Macaca mulatta: one gene and its partners. The protein of the gene in region 4 purifies or fractionates together with the protein of the main gene of each other region. This does not show direct contact. Links are inferred from orthologs where the notes say so. Each region holds a gene or a part of one and is shown on either strand. Other genes may lie near its edges.

What was found. The genes of interacting proteins can lie anywhere in the genome.
Region 1: the proteins of CEP290 (region 4) and CEP97 purify together in Homo sapiens (co-immunoprecipitation; 4 studies listed by BioGRID and IntAct, with this or other methods). This does not show direct contact. The link is inferred for Macaca mulatta from reciprocal best matches to the Homo sapiens genes CEP290 and CEP97.
Region 2: the proteins of CEP290 (region 4) and NEURL4 purify together in Homo sapiens (affinity purification with mass spectrometry; 3 studies listed by BioGRID and IntAct, with this or other methods). This does not show direct contact. The link is inferred for Macaca mulatta from reciprocal best matches to the Homo sapiens genes CEP290 and NEURL4.
Region 3: the proteins of CEP290 (region 4) and CEP76 purify together in Homo sapiens (co-immunoprecipitation; 5 studies listed by BioGRID and IntAct, with this or other methods). This does not show direct contact. The link is inferred for Macaca mulatta from reciprocal best matches to the Homo sapiens genes CEP290 and CEP76.

The regions. Positions count from the first base shown.
Region 1 is NC_133407.1:181,849,199-181,852,718, forward strand, and holds part of CEP97 (centrosomal protein of 97 kDa), read right to left. Parts: coding exon 3,020-3,520; intron 1-3,019. UniProt on the Homo sapiens protein: Acts as a key negative regulator of ciliogenesis in collaboration with CCP110 by capping the mother centriole thereby preventing cilia formation. Required for recruitment of CCP110 to the centrosome.
Region 2 is NC_133421.1:8,816,987-8,820,506, reverse strand, and holds part of NEURL4 (neuralized-like protein 4), read left to right. Parts: intron 1-46; coding exon 47-135; intron 136-675; coding exon 676-748; intron 749-913; coding exon 914-1,178; intron 1,179-1,408; coding exon 1,409-1,590; intron 1,591-1,908; coding exon 1,909-1,994; intron 1,995-2,118; coding exon 2,119-2,281; intron 2,282-2,379; coding exon 2,380-2,578; intron 2,579-2,669; coding exon 2,670-2,746; intron 2,747-2,830; coding exon 2,831-2,909; intron 2,910-3,269; coding exon 3,270-3,445; intron 3,446-3,520. UniProt on the Homo sapiens protein: Promotes CCP110 ubiquitination and proteasome-dependent degradation. By counteracting accumulation of CP110, maintains normal centriolar homeostasis and preventing formation of ectopic microtubular organizing centers.
Region 3 is NC_133423.1:83,348,665-83,351,002, forward strand, and holds the end of CEP76 (centrosomal protein of 76 kDa), read right to left. Parts: coding exon 2,142-2,338; intron 1,125-2,141; coding exon 986-1,124; 3' UTR 501-985; downstream 1-500. UniProt on the Homo sapiens protein: Centrosomal protein involved in regulation of centriole duplication. Required to limit centriole duplication to once per cell cycle by preventing centriole reduplication.
Region 4 is NC_133416.1:95,386,597-95,390,744, forward strand, and holds the start of CEP290 (centrosomal protein of 290 kDa), read right to left. Parts: upstream 2,806-4,148; 5' UTR 2,631-2,805; intron 2,526-2,630; exon of another isoform or gene 2,336-2,525; intron 2,050-2,335; 5' UTR 2,023-2,049; coding exon 1,921-2,022; intron 1,755-1,920; coding exon 1,677-1,754; intron 282-1,676; coding exon 212-281; intron 1-211. UniProt on the Homo sapiens protein: Involved in early and late steps in cilia formation. Its association with CCP110 is required for inhibition of primary cilia formation by CCP110.

The DNA.
Region 1 (3,520 bases), on a different chromosome or scaffold from region 4:
CAGGCTGGGCACAGTGGCTCACGCCTGTAATCCCAGCACTTTGGGAGGCCAAGGCATGCGGATCACCTGAGGTCAGGAATTTGAGACCAGCCTGGCCTACATAGTGAAACCCTATCTGTACTGAAAATGAAAAAAAAAAAAAAAAATTAGCTGGGCATGTGGTGGGTTCCTGTAATCCCACCTACTCGGGAGGCTGAGGCAGGAGGATTACTTGAACCCGGGAGGCAGAGGTTGCAATGAGCCGAGATCGCGCCATTGCACTCCAGCCTAGGTGACAAGAGGGAGACTCCATCTTAAAAAAAAAAAAAAAAAAAAATTCCAGCCAGCAAGGTGACTCACACCTGTAATCCCAGAACTTTAGGAGGCTGAGGCAGGAGGATTGCTTGAGGCCAGGAGTTCAAGACCAGCCTGGGCAACACAGACTTCATTTCTTTAAAAAAAAACATTTTTAATTAGCTGGGCATGGTGGTGCACGCCTATAGTCCCAGCTACTTGGGAGCCTGAAGTGGGAGAATCACTTGAACCCAGGAGTTCAAGGTTATAGTGAGCTATGATCATGCCTCTACACTCCAGCCTCAGCGACAGGGCAAGACCCTGTCTCAAAAAAATATAAAATCTAAGATCTACCGTTATTACTCCCTCTCAAATATCTTCAGCTCTCTTGCCCTTCCCCCGCTCTCTCTACAATATCACCTAGGAAAAAAATCATTCCTGGCTGAACCAAATTAACCACACCTGAATCAGAACAGAACAGCTAAGAATTGCCGATGAAAATCATACATCCTGACCTATTATTTTACACTTTTAAGCATTTTCTCACATCATCCAGCAACCCTCCTCCATTTTCCTCATAAGGTCATCCTTAAGATGACTACCTCACACCTCATACTTCTTTCCTTACACCTCCTTCACCCCCTCCTCATTTTCAGGCGCTGACCACATCTTATACATTATTGAAAAAGCAGCAGCAGCAGACAGGACTTTTTCCCATCTCCCACCATCAAACCTACCACCTTACCTGCTCCTGCTCCCATCTGAGGCCACTTCCTCTACTTCAACACTGCATTTCTTCCTCTCTTACCTTCTCAAGAACTGCAATCCTGGCCGGGTGTGGTGGCTCATGCCTGTAATCCCAGCAGTTTGGGAGGCCGAGGCGGGTGGATCACAAGGTCAGGAGAACAAAACCATCCTGGCTAACACAGTGAAACCCCATCTCTACTAAAAATACACAAAATTAGCTGGGTGTGGTGGCAGGCGCCTGTAGTCCCAGCTACTCTGAAGGCTGAGGCAGGAGAATGGCCTGAACCTGGGAGGCGGAGCTTGCAGTGAGCCGAAATGGCGCCACTGCACTTCAGCCTAGGCAACAGAGCAGATTCTGTCTCAAAAAAAAAAAAAAGAACTGCAATCCTGCTCTTCCTCTTTTTTTTTTTTCTGCACCATCAGTTTTTCCCTCCTTATTTATTCATTCCATCAACACATGAACACACTCTGTATCTCTCATCTCCAAAAGAGAATGTTCCTTTAATCTAGATTTCTCCTCCAGATACCACTTAACTCTCTTTTTTCATGTTTTCCTCAAAACAACTCTTTCCAAGAATTGGCTACACTCATCCTTCAAACTCTTTACTTCTTATTCACTATTCAACCCATTCCAAAATGGCCTTCATCCCCCTACACCACTGAAGCTGCTCTTGGGAAGGTCATTGTGCAGTAAAGAGTTAACTCAGCAGGACTGGGATGTTCAAACACTGTACATTGCAAAGATAAGAAGACTGGTCCTTGACTGACTCCTGGGAGATGATCTCCAAGCCCTTGGAATATCCTGACTGAAATAGAATATCTTTATACACCTGGGGTCTTGGTCCACATTAGGTAGTTTAGGCAATCAATGATTTCTAGTCAACATCTGTTGTGTTCACCTGGGGTCCTGAGCCACAGAGTTATCAGTGTGACCTCTAAGTGGCCTGAGGTCTAAATAGTTAAGATCAGTTACATGGGTACTCATTACCTATGAGATTGGCCCACAATAAAAACCCTGGACATCAAAGATGAGGTAACTTTTGCCAGTTGGCAATACTTCATATGTGTTATCATACATCATTGCTGAGAGAATTAAGCCCTGTCTGTACAACACTGGGAGAGAACAACTGGAAGCTTGCACCTCATCTCTCCTGGACTCTGCCCTAGGCACCTTTTTTCTTTACTGGTTCTAATCTGTATCCTTTTGCTGTAATGAACTATAATGACAAACAGAATAATATTTTCCCAAGTTCTGTGAGTCCTTTTAGCAAATCACCCAACCTGAGGATAGTCTGGAGAATCACCAATACAGTCACCAATAGTCTCCAACTGCCAAGTCTAATGCCTGTGTCCTCTCTATGGCACCTCCGATCTCTCCTGAAACAGTTTCTCCTGTTGAAGGTGGAACTCTCCTAGTTTTCCTACCACTCTGGCTGCCCTTTCTCAGTATCCTTTGCTGCCTCTTCCTCTTCTACCTGATAATACCAATAAATATTACTAGTCACAATATTAATGAAATCCTAACTTTCCTGGGTTAGCAGTCAGTAAAACATATGAGCCATGGGATTAAGGAATAATCCTATTGTAGTCCTATAGAATTTTAGCCCCTTCTGAATCCCTGCTATTAATTTTTATGTCATGTACTGAATTCCATGTAGACTTCATCATTTTCTCATTTTTATACTTAGTTTTTCAATGTTTTCTGTACCTTTCTATGTTTAGAATTACAGATCCCTATAAAGCTCACGTTCATTGAACATTTACCACTACACTGCATCTATGTATCAAGTCCTCTGCTGGGGATGGAGATGCAGCAGACAGAACAGATGGTCTCTGCTCTCCAGATGCTTTCAGTACACTGTAGGAGACAACCAAACCAACAGTGGCTACATGGTATGAAAAGTGTTATAATCACAGACGCACAGTGTTCTGAATCAACTGTAAGAATCTAACACCCTCAAACCAGCAAAACAGTACATCGAAAGGACTTATGACCCACCTCCTTATTTCATCAGTTAAGCAGACAATGTGCTCTTGCATTCTGCGTAGCCGGATTTCGTAACGCACATCTTTGGCTTGAGGGTTGTAGTTCCTGGCATAAAATCCCCGCCAACAGGCCTGAAGCTTGGTGGCTGCATCATTTAATTTCTGAAGGGCAACTTTGTCTTGTCCCAAAACAACAGATCTCTGGGTTAAAATCATGGGAACTTTCTCTGAAGTTGCTTGAGATATGGTTTCTTTATTTTCTGGTTGTGTATTTTCTGGTTTCTTTATGTCTGGTTGTTTCTGTCCAGCTGACTCAGGAAAAAATGTAAGACTGTGGTTATCATCCTTCAAGATAGTGCTGATTATTGTTGGCTCAGAACAAGGTAATAGTCCAGCTTTCTCATTTACCTCTGTATTGATTTCACTTCTCATCATTGGAACAGAATTCTCATTTGCAGCCCATAAAGGCTTTTCCTCTTCCTTATCCAACACCTGGCTTTCCAGCCCTTTCACA
Region 2 (3,520 bases), on a different chromosome or scaffold from region 4:
GGGAAGGAAGCCCCGTACTTGAACCCGCGTGTCCACCATCACCCAGGCACCATCATGATGAGCGGCTGTGGGATCCTGACCAATGGCAAGGGCACCCGCCGGGAGTACTGCGAATTCAGTCTGGATGAGCTGCAGGTGAGGGTGGCACACAGATCCTTGGACCACTTTCCAGCAGAGCCACAGGTACTCTGTGACCCTGCCAGGGCACCAAGCAGGGTCTCCTGTGTGACCTAGAGCCAGTCCCTGTATCTTCTACCTAAAGGTTCCTTCCGAGAAGGCAGAGTTGCCCAAGAGTTCAGCACTCAGATTTTGGAGTCAGATGGTTGAATTCCTCTTACTGTTTTCCCATTTGTAGTGGCGAACCGAGGCAAGAAGCTTATCCTCTTTCATTGCTCCCCCAGCCCCTGCAATCTCTAAAATGAGCCTACAAGTAGTACTCATTCCATAGGCTGAGACTTGTAGAAGCTGATGTCTGTGAGGTGGTTTAACTCAGTGCCTGACTCACGTGGAGCATTGAGGAAATGTAGAAACTGTCATGTCTGGAAAACAAGGACCCAGGACCCGTCCTCCAGGATGGTCTGAGACTGGCGAATGCCTTCTGGAGTTGTTCCTGTGTGGAGTGGGGTGCTCGGCAGGCCTCGGGACTCCTCTGAACTATTCGTCTTCTTTGAGTAGGAGGGTGACCACATTGGCCTCACAAGGAAGTCCAACTCTGCCCTGCACTTCTTCATTAATGGTATCGATCAGGGTAAGGGTCGCTCAGAGAGGGCCTCTGGGCTGGGGCTTTCGGTGAGGCTGGGACTGGGGGCTGTACTTCATCCTCCTGCTTCTCTTTGGTGCTTGGTCTCCGTGTTTGACTTTCTCCCCTCATTCTCCCTGCCCACTCCCACACCCCCGAACCTTCCTGCAACAGGAGTGGCAACCCCCTTGACGCCCCCAGTGGTGTATGGCGTGGTGGACTTGTACGGGATGGCTGTGAAGGTGACCATCGTCCACAATAACAACCACAGTGACCGTCTCCGCCGCAACAACGCCATCCTGCGGGCGCTGTCCCCCGAGGGCGCTCTCCGCCGTGCTGCCCCTGCCGCTCAGGCAGAACCTGAGCGCCTGCTCTTCCACCCCAACTGTGGGCAGAAGGCAGCCATCACCCACGAGGGACGCACTGCCCTGAGGCCCCAGTATGGCCCATGGGGTGGGGAGAAGCCTGAAGAAGGGGTTCTAATGGGAGGGGGCCAGGGCACGGAAGTAGAAGGCAGAGGGAGCCTGGCGGGGGCAGCCTGGCGGGGTGGAGGTTGAGGTTGAGTTCTTTGGCTTGGGGCCGTGAATGTTGGCAGGCATTGCTGGGCTAAGCCTTGGCACGTTGAGAGCGTGTGTTGGGGATCTGACTCTCCACTTTCTGTTCCCTCAGTGCCACCGATGACTTCAATCATGGCGTGGTGCTGAGCAGCAGAGCCCTGCGGGATGGAGAGGTGTTCCAGGTGCGCATCGACAAGATGGTGGACAAATGGGCTGGCTCCATTGAAATTGGTGTCACCACCCACAACCCTGCCTACCTCCAGTTGCCCTCCACCATGACCAACTTGCGCTCTGGTGAGCTCCCAGCAAGGGCAGGGCCAGGACAGGGTTTTGGGGGGAAGCTGTCCCCAAAGCCCTGGCACTTGTTCTCCAGCTTCTTTTTCACTTGTCACTCTTGTGACCACTCATTCAGTGGCTAGAGAGTGCCCCGTGGGCAGGGCTGTGGCTGTCTTGGAAGCTGCAGAGTTTTGTTGTCCTGCTCAGGGAAGAAAGCTAGTCGTCAAAGAAAAGGCAAGATGGGCTGTGGGCTCAGGAGTTCTGTGGGGGCTGCTATGGAAAGGAGAGGAGCCCTTCCTTTCCCTTCATGTCCTCTACTGCTCCTTGTCCTCCCAGGGACCTGGATGATGACTGGGAATGGGGTGATGCACAATGGGACGACCATCCTGGATGAATACGGGCACAACCTGGACCGCCTCAAGGTGGGAAAGTGGGTGTGCTGCCTGGCGGCCGCAGCGGGCATCACAAACACCACAGGGCTGATGCAGGACCAGCCCCGGCAGGAACTCTGCCTGACTCCTCACTCCAGCACCCCCTTCTTCCAAGGCAGGGGACACGGTGGGCGTGGTACGGCGGGAGGACGGGACTCTCCACTTCTTTGTCAATGGGATGACTCAGGGCCCTGCTGCCTGGAACGTGCCCCCGGGCGTCTATGCTGTCGTCGATCTCTATGGCCAGGCGGCCCAGGCCACCATTGTGGACGACGTGGGTGAGGGCCGGGCTAGGCTGGGGCCGGGGGTTAGGGTGGCCTTGGGAGGTCTGAGAGACACTTAGAGATCTAATGGGTGATGATGTCCACTTTTACAGAGGTGTCTCCAGTTCCTGAATCACTTCCTGAGGGGAATAACCAGGTGTCTCCAAGCTCTCCATCCTCAGGGGCAGGGGGCTCTGACCTGCGTTTCCACCAGCTGCACGGCAGTAACGCAGTCATCACCAATGGGGGCCGCACTGCCCTCCGCCACAACTGTCGCAGCGAGTTTAATGACGCCATCGTCATCTCCAACCGGTCAGTCTCTCAACTTTCATGTCCCCACCTTCCTCCTGCCCAGCCTCAGCCACCCAAGTGGAGCCTCTCTGATCACCAGTCTCCCTGGCAGGGCCCTGCGGGATGGAGAGCTGTTTGAAATTGTCATTCAGAAGATGGTGGACCGCTGGTCAGGCTCCATTGAGGCTGGTGAGGGGCGTCTGTGTGTGTTGGGGGCCGTTGGATGTCTGTGCCTTGGGGGATCGGCCTTGACTTACCTCTGCCTCCTACCAGGAGTGACTGCTATTCGGCCTGAAGACCTGGAATTCCCTAACACCATGACAGACATTGACTATGACACATGGATGCTGAGGTTGGGCTTCCTGCTTTGGGGGCCAGCTTGGGGCTGAGTGGAGCTGGCTGGCATCAGGGAAGCAAGGTTTCGGCCTATGGTGGCTGTGGGCAGTGACAGACCTAGGGGATCTGCCTGTCCCCTCTCTTGGATTCTGGGAAGCCCTGCTCAGGCCCACAGGGGCTCAGTCCTCCTTCATCTTAGGTAGTTCTTGCTTTTCCCTGAGGGGATCCCAGGGACAAACGAGATAGGACTGGGCCTTACACCCAGATCAAGACCCCAGCCCAAGGCATTGGAAGGTTCTGACAGGCAGGGAGTGGGCGGGGGCCAATGTGAAGTTGAAGCTGGCAGGCTGACTCACCCCTTCTGCCATCCCCCCAGTGGTACAGCCATCATGCAAGATGGTAACACGATGCGCAACAATTACGGGTGTGACCTGGATGCGCTGGGCACAGGTGCACGCATTGGCATGATGCGAACTGCCAAGGGCGATCTGCACTACTTCATCAACGGCCAGGACCAAGGCGCTGCCTGCTCGGGCCTGCCTCCGGGTAAAGGTGACTATGTGGCTTTCAGCCTGCCACCCTCAGCCCAGACCACCTGGCTGTCAGGCTTCTGACCTTCCCTCTCCT
Region 3 (2,338 bases), on a different chromosome or scaffold from region 4:
TGACAGAGCAAGACTCCGTCTCAAAAAAAAAAAAAAAAAAAAAAAAACTTTGAAAACGTGCTCAATTTTAAAACAAAAATCAGTATGGAGTCACTCACATATGCTTGTTTTCTGTGGTCTCACATAATCTCTCATTTAGTCACATATATGCTGATTTTTTTATCACAATGAAAAGAAAGAAAAAAGGGTTTCAGAAGATAGAATCCATGAAGAGGCTAGTAATGAATCCTCTGACCACAGAAAATCAGTGATAGACTGCAAGATCACAATTTATCAGTATCGTAACAAAGAGGTATAATAAATTTTTTCTAAAATACCCAGTTCATTTTTACAATGAATCACACTGATAAATATTTCTAAATGATTCATGTACTTTCATATGAGGTTATTAATAGTCATGCTTTTCTGGTATTAGTTTTTTCCTATTCTTGCTTCAAGGTCCAACCTTAAATTTCTGGACAGTCTCAAATATCCCAAGGGCTAGGAATAAACCACAAAAGTGATAATTCATCAACATTTATTTTTACCAATGCAATAAATAAATCTGTCATGAAGTTAATTTCTCCTAATTTGTATAAAATAATCCCATTAACCTGTGAAAAGTAATGATCATATTGATTTTTCTAGGGCTCAAACCCTTAGACAAATCTCTCTTTGATTACCTGTTAGTGTAAAGAAAACTGAATGCATTTTATATTAATATTTAAACTACTGGTAACTGTAAACAAAGTAGCATTTATTAAAATAGAATATACACTTAATTTATACTAAATTCCAGGGAGATTTATACAAGTTTTTCAGCCTTAATTTTTAAAGGAACACATGATTTTTTTTTAAACATTACCAGTCAATTATATACAAAATTGAAACATGCCATTCAAGCCAGATTGTGATTTTAAAATAACAAACCTCTAAATAGCTAAGTAATGTACAATGTGTAAAATTCTAATTACACACAGGTATAATTCTTACATAAATATTGGCCCTATAATACCGAGCGATATTTACAAGCAAACATGATCCAAACAGCACATGCAGATTCAGGGTAAGTAAACACTCGGACACGAACTGCCAGTCGCACTTGGTCTCCACGGCAACAGATTATTTCTTCACAGAAAGGAGATCTATTTAAGAAAAAAAAATTATTCAATTAAGAAGTGACCATACACTTTACTTTCTTATTTGCAAGTAAATCAGTATTTCAAATAATTTTTTCAGGCTAGGCATGGTGGCTCATGCCTGTAATCTCAGCACTTTGGGAGGCCGAGACAGGTGGATCACCTGAGGTCAGGAGTTCAAGACCAGCTTGGCCAACATAGTGAAACCCCATCTCTACTAAAAATTACAAAAATTAGCCAGATATGGTGGCAGGTGTCTGTAATCCCAGCTACTTGGGAGGCTGAGGCAGGAGAATCACTTGAATCCGGGAGGCAGAGGTTGCAGTGAGCCAAGATTGTGCCACTGCACTCTAGCCTGGGTGACAGACTGAGACTCCATCTCAAAAATAAATAAATAAAATAATTTTTTCAAATTCTGTCTCTGCTATCAAAGACACTATAATTTTGGTCAAGCTATTCAAATTACAGACTATTTCCTTATAGTCCAAACAAAATCAGAGATACCTGAGACTACACCAAAATCACTGGGAAAATCATCCCAGACTATCTAGGGCTACATTTCAGACCAAATGAATCAAAATCTGTGGCAAGGAGGGTAAGTCACTGAAAAGCTCCCATGTGACTCAGATGTCATTCCTAAATAACTACCAGATTAGGCTGGGTGCAATGGCTCACACGTGCAATCCCAGCACTTTGGGAGGCCGAGGTGGGAAGACTGCTTGAGCCCAGGAGTTCAAGACCAGCCTGGGTAACATAGGAAGACCCCATCTCTACAAAATAAAGATTTAAAAAAAAATAGCCACATATGGTGGCACGTGCCTGTGGTCCCAGTTGCTTGGAAGAGTGAGGTGGAAGGATCACTTGGGCCCAGGAGGTCCAGGCTGCAGTGAGCCATAACTGTGCCACTATACTCCAGCATGGGCAGCAGAGCAAGACCTTGAGTTAAAAAAATAAAAAAAACCCTGCCAGACTGATCTCTAAGATTCCTAAACTGAAAAAAGGATTCCATAAATTACACCTTACCGAAGACATGTGGCAAATGCACGTCTTGCATTTCTATACACAAAATGTATTGGGAACCCTTTAAATGTGTGACCATCAGGCACAGCCCTTCTTATGGCATCTTGAAATTCTTCATTGCCTGCTGAAATACTTGTTGTACGCTCAAATTCATAAGACGCCAAAGCTGGTGATAAAAGGTAGGAGAGCTGGTCTTCCCA
Region 4 (4,148 bases):
TTAAAAGAGTCCATCATGATTATAAGGTAACAAAAAGTATTATACGGCAGATCCATAAAACAGGAGTCTAGAAATATGTATTATTAAATAAATGTTATATATTAAAAATAAATTGAATATATACAGTTTATAGAATTTAATTTTCTACAGCTTAATGAACAAATGGAACTCATTATTTAATAACATAATAAACTTTTTCCAAGGTGCTTACCAAATTTTGCTTGTTCTTCTCCAGCTTTTTCTACTTCCTCCAAAGCCAGCTCTACTTCTTGAGCTTTCATCTAAACATTTAAAAAAAGTTTATTTCAATATGCCTTTAAACTGGAATGTAAGCACTGAAAATAAAAATTTTGTTTTCTTATGCTCATTAGTGCCAGCAATGGCTGGCACATGGAGACTTTCAGTAAATATTTGTTGAATGAATAAATAATTTTTTCTCTCCTTTTTTTTCGCTTTTGAAATAGGGCCTCACTTTGTCACCCAGGCTGGAGTGCAGTGGCACAATCTCAGCTTACTGCAACCTCTGCCTCCTGGGCTCAAGCAATCTTCCCATCTCAGTCTCCTGAGTAGCTGGGACTACAGGTGCATGCCATTATGCTCAGCGTGCCATCATGCTCGGCATGCCATCATGCTTGGTGTGCCATCATGCTCAGCAAATTTTTTCGTAGAGGCAAGGTCTCACTATATTATCCAGGCTGGTCTCCAACTCCCAGCCTCAGGCAATCCTCCTGCCTTGGCCTCCCAAAGTGCTGGGATTATAGACGTGAGCCACCATGCCAGGCAATTTTCTTACTTAAGACGACAATTTCTAGATTTTTAATAGCATGAAACATTTTTGATTCTCCCTTTTACCTCAAGTCCTCAAGTCTTATATCCAGTAAAGCAACATATCTCTTTGTAATGTTTTTCCACTACTTTTTTTCTGTTCCAATTGCTATTATTCTAATGCATAATTTCAGGTTTAAACTCCTCTATAATGTGATGTTTGCAAAGCTCCGATTTCCTTCAGTTTGTCCTATATAATAGACTCAGTTTTGCCTTCCTAAGGCCTATTTTTGTACCTATCAACTGTGGTTCGAAAACGCCTTCTCAATTGCTGACAGCATAAAATACACCTTTAATGACCTCAAGAACCTATCTCAAAGTACCTACCCAAGATTTGTTTTCTCTACAGCCTGCTACAAACTTGCTGCACCGCATTTCCTCAAATGTAAAGAATAAACTTATTTCCTATCCTCAATATTTATTTATGGTAACCAACAGCTCTAGAATTCCCTTACTATCTTACCACTGCATTACCTTCCACTTACCTAAAACTACTCCTCAGTATTCATCCTCTGTGAAGTCTTCTGACACCTCTTAGATCACTTCCCCTCTTAACAAATCCCTATAGCAGTCATTGTCTGCATTTGTCATTTGGACCTCAGGATATATTTCCTTATGTTATTTTTCAACATACTCATTCTATTTCCCCTACATACCCTTTTAGAAACTTTAAGTAGAAACTAGCAATGTTTTACATACTAAAATACTTAATCTACATTTAAATATATTGCACTTTTGAGGGGTGATGTAGATATTACCAAGTATTTTCACAAAGATTACTTTATATAAGAACAGATTTTTATAGTTCCTCTAATAGCCAAACCTATCATTAAAACCTACTACATACAAACCTTCATTAGTGACTGAGTAATTCTGAAAAGGTGTATCACATTTTCTTGCTTTTCACTTTTTAGCTCATTTACTTCCACCTAAGTAAACAGAAAAGCAACTGTTTTATATTTTATAACCTTTAAGCAAAATATAAGAACTCTTCCAGATTGTGACAATTAATAGTTGTTTCTGAAAAAAAAATTCATATTTTATTAATAATCATAAGTTAATGTATATATCTATTATTATTGACCAAGTAAGCACCTTGGATAAGGAAATCAATAAATTATCTGCCAGTTCTTCTTGACGGGGCAGGTCATCTGGGTCAACTTTCATTATTTCTTTCCAGTTTATATTAGGTGGCATCTTGAATTCTTTCACTGTGCTCCACCTCTGTAACAAAACAGGTGGATATTAGCATTTTCAAGGTACACAGCATTATTGGTTTTCTAATAGCCTACATTTTTTGCAGATTATTTCATTATAACTTTCTTATGTTAGCAAAGAACTATGCCTTAGCCACAAAACAGACAAGTGGGCAAAATAGCCTTGATCAAAAATAGCAGTCGGCACAAACTGTCAGAGAGTGTACCGGCTAAATAAAATGTGACGGCTTCCTTGCTAACACTAATATAAGTTAGGACTAAGATTTCTGGGTCCCTTCCTCCACACCGCCTACCCACAACGCGCGCGAACACCCTAATCTTGGCAAGCGCGAGGGTCTGTGGAAGGCTGACAATGATCCTTGATTTGGAGAAGCAGAATTGGGGCTGGAAAAAAAAAAAAAAAAAGAAGCAGAAATTAACAATTGGAATGAGTGAAGTTGTGCGGCGGAAACCGGAACCGAAGTAAGGCAGGATTACGGACCCGAGGCTGGAAGGGACGGGGTAGCTGCGCTGCGGCACACGGGCCCTAAGGCTAAAGAACCTGAACGTGGAGTGACTCGCTGATCCTGCTTACAGGGATCCACCCACCTACACCAAGCCTGGCAACCAGCGGAGGTCCCTCACTACCACAACCACCAAGCTGGACAGATCCCTATCGCGGTTCCACGCGGACTCTGGGTCCAGCCAAATGGTCCCCAAGGAAGCCAAAGCGGCAGCGGCTGCTAAGCGACACCATCCCTAACTCCGCCGGGGCCAGAAGAAGATCCCGGATGCAAAGAGAGCCTACAATTCACGACCGTGGGTGATGCTTTACGTTTAGATTCTCCGCCGGAGTCCCAGGACTCGGTGTTCAGGATGATGAGAAGGCGTGGAACGAGGACTCCAAATCCCAGAGTGCAGATGTGCCTGAGGTTTGTGCATGCTGGGAACTGAAGTCCCTGAGAAGAGGAGATAAGGCGCTCCCGGCGTGCAACGCGGAAGGCTGCGACGGTACCGGGGCGGCGGGGAAGGACCGAGAGGCGGGAGGCGCAGTGGCTGAGGCGCCTACGAGCTGGTGGCCTGAACGAGGTAGACCATGACTGTGGCTTTAGTGGCGTCACTCGCTGGGCCGCTCTTCATGAGGTTTTCCTAAGCCATCCCCTGGCGGAACCGCTTCCAGGTGAGGTCGAGCTGTGGGTCAGCGTATCAGGAGGAGTTGAGGGCAGCAGTCTGGGTTAGAGAAGCTTCTGCTATTGGGGCCGTAGGGCCTGGCCCCATTCTGAAAAAGTGGAAACACCCTGCCTTCTCTTCAGGCGTTTGCAGGCGGCGTCCAAGGTAGTGCCTTCTGTAAGAAGGAAAAAACAAAAAGTTTTAGCCTTGTTTAGTATCAGAATCTTTCTTGGTAGAGTGAGAGCCGCGCAGCCGTGATCCTCGTTTGGGGGCGAGCGAAGAATTGACAAGAGGTCTCGGCATCCTCTGACCCCGCCAGCCTTACCTGTAGCACCATTCCCTTCGCAGATGGTGGGACTTGATGGTTGTGGAGCTAGTATAAAGGGAAGGCTCTAGAGAGGAGAGGTTAGTGCTTGTCCGGGCCACTGCCGGGGGTGGAGAGAGAAGGTACCCGAGGACTCACCTGTACTATTGTCACTGCTTGGTTACCTAGGGTGTCCTTCCATGAAAGCGCCTTCTCTGGTGTTTACCACGCTTACTTGTGCAAGTTTTGCTCATCTGCTCATAGCCATACTGGAGTGCGATACACCTCTAACTAACTTTCCTAAGAAGCTGTAGATTTAAATCTAAATGACATTTCCAACTATCTGTACCAGTGCTTCTCATCTTTCTTTTTTTTTTTTTTTAACGCTGCTTTAAAAAAAATTTTACTATACTTGATGGTAAATTTTCCTTTCGAAAATAAGTAATGAATTTCTTTTTAAACTCCCAATTTGGGTAAAATAAATAGCTCAGTACAAAATAAAAATATACTGGTTTTGTGAGATAAATTTTAAAGACATTAGTTAGATTTATAGGAATGACAATTTTACTACTTTTCTGAAAGATTTTATGCCAAATACTATTCATTATCTTGTTTATTCTTCCTTACAATCCAGTGAAATAGGTGCTTACGTT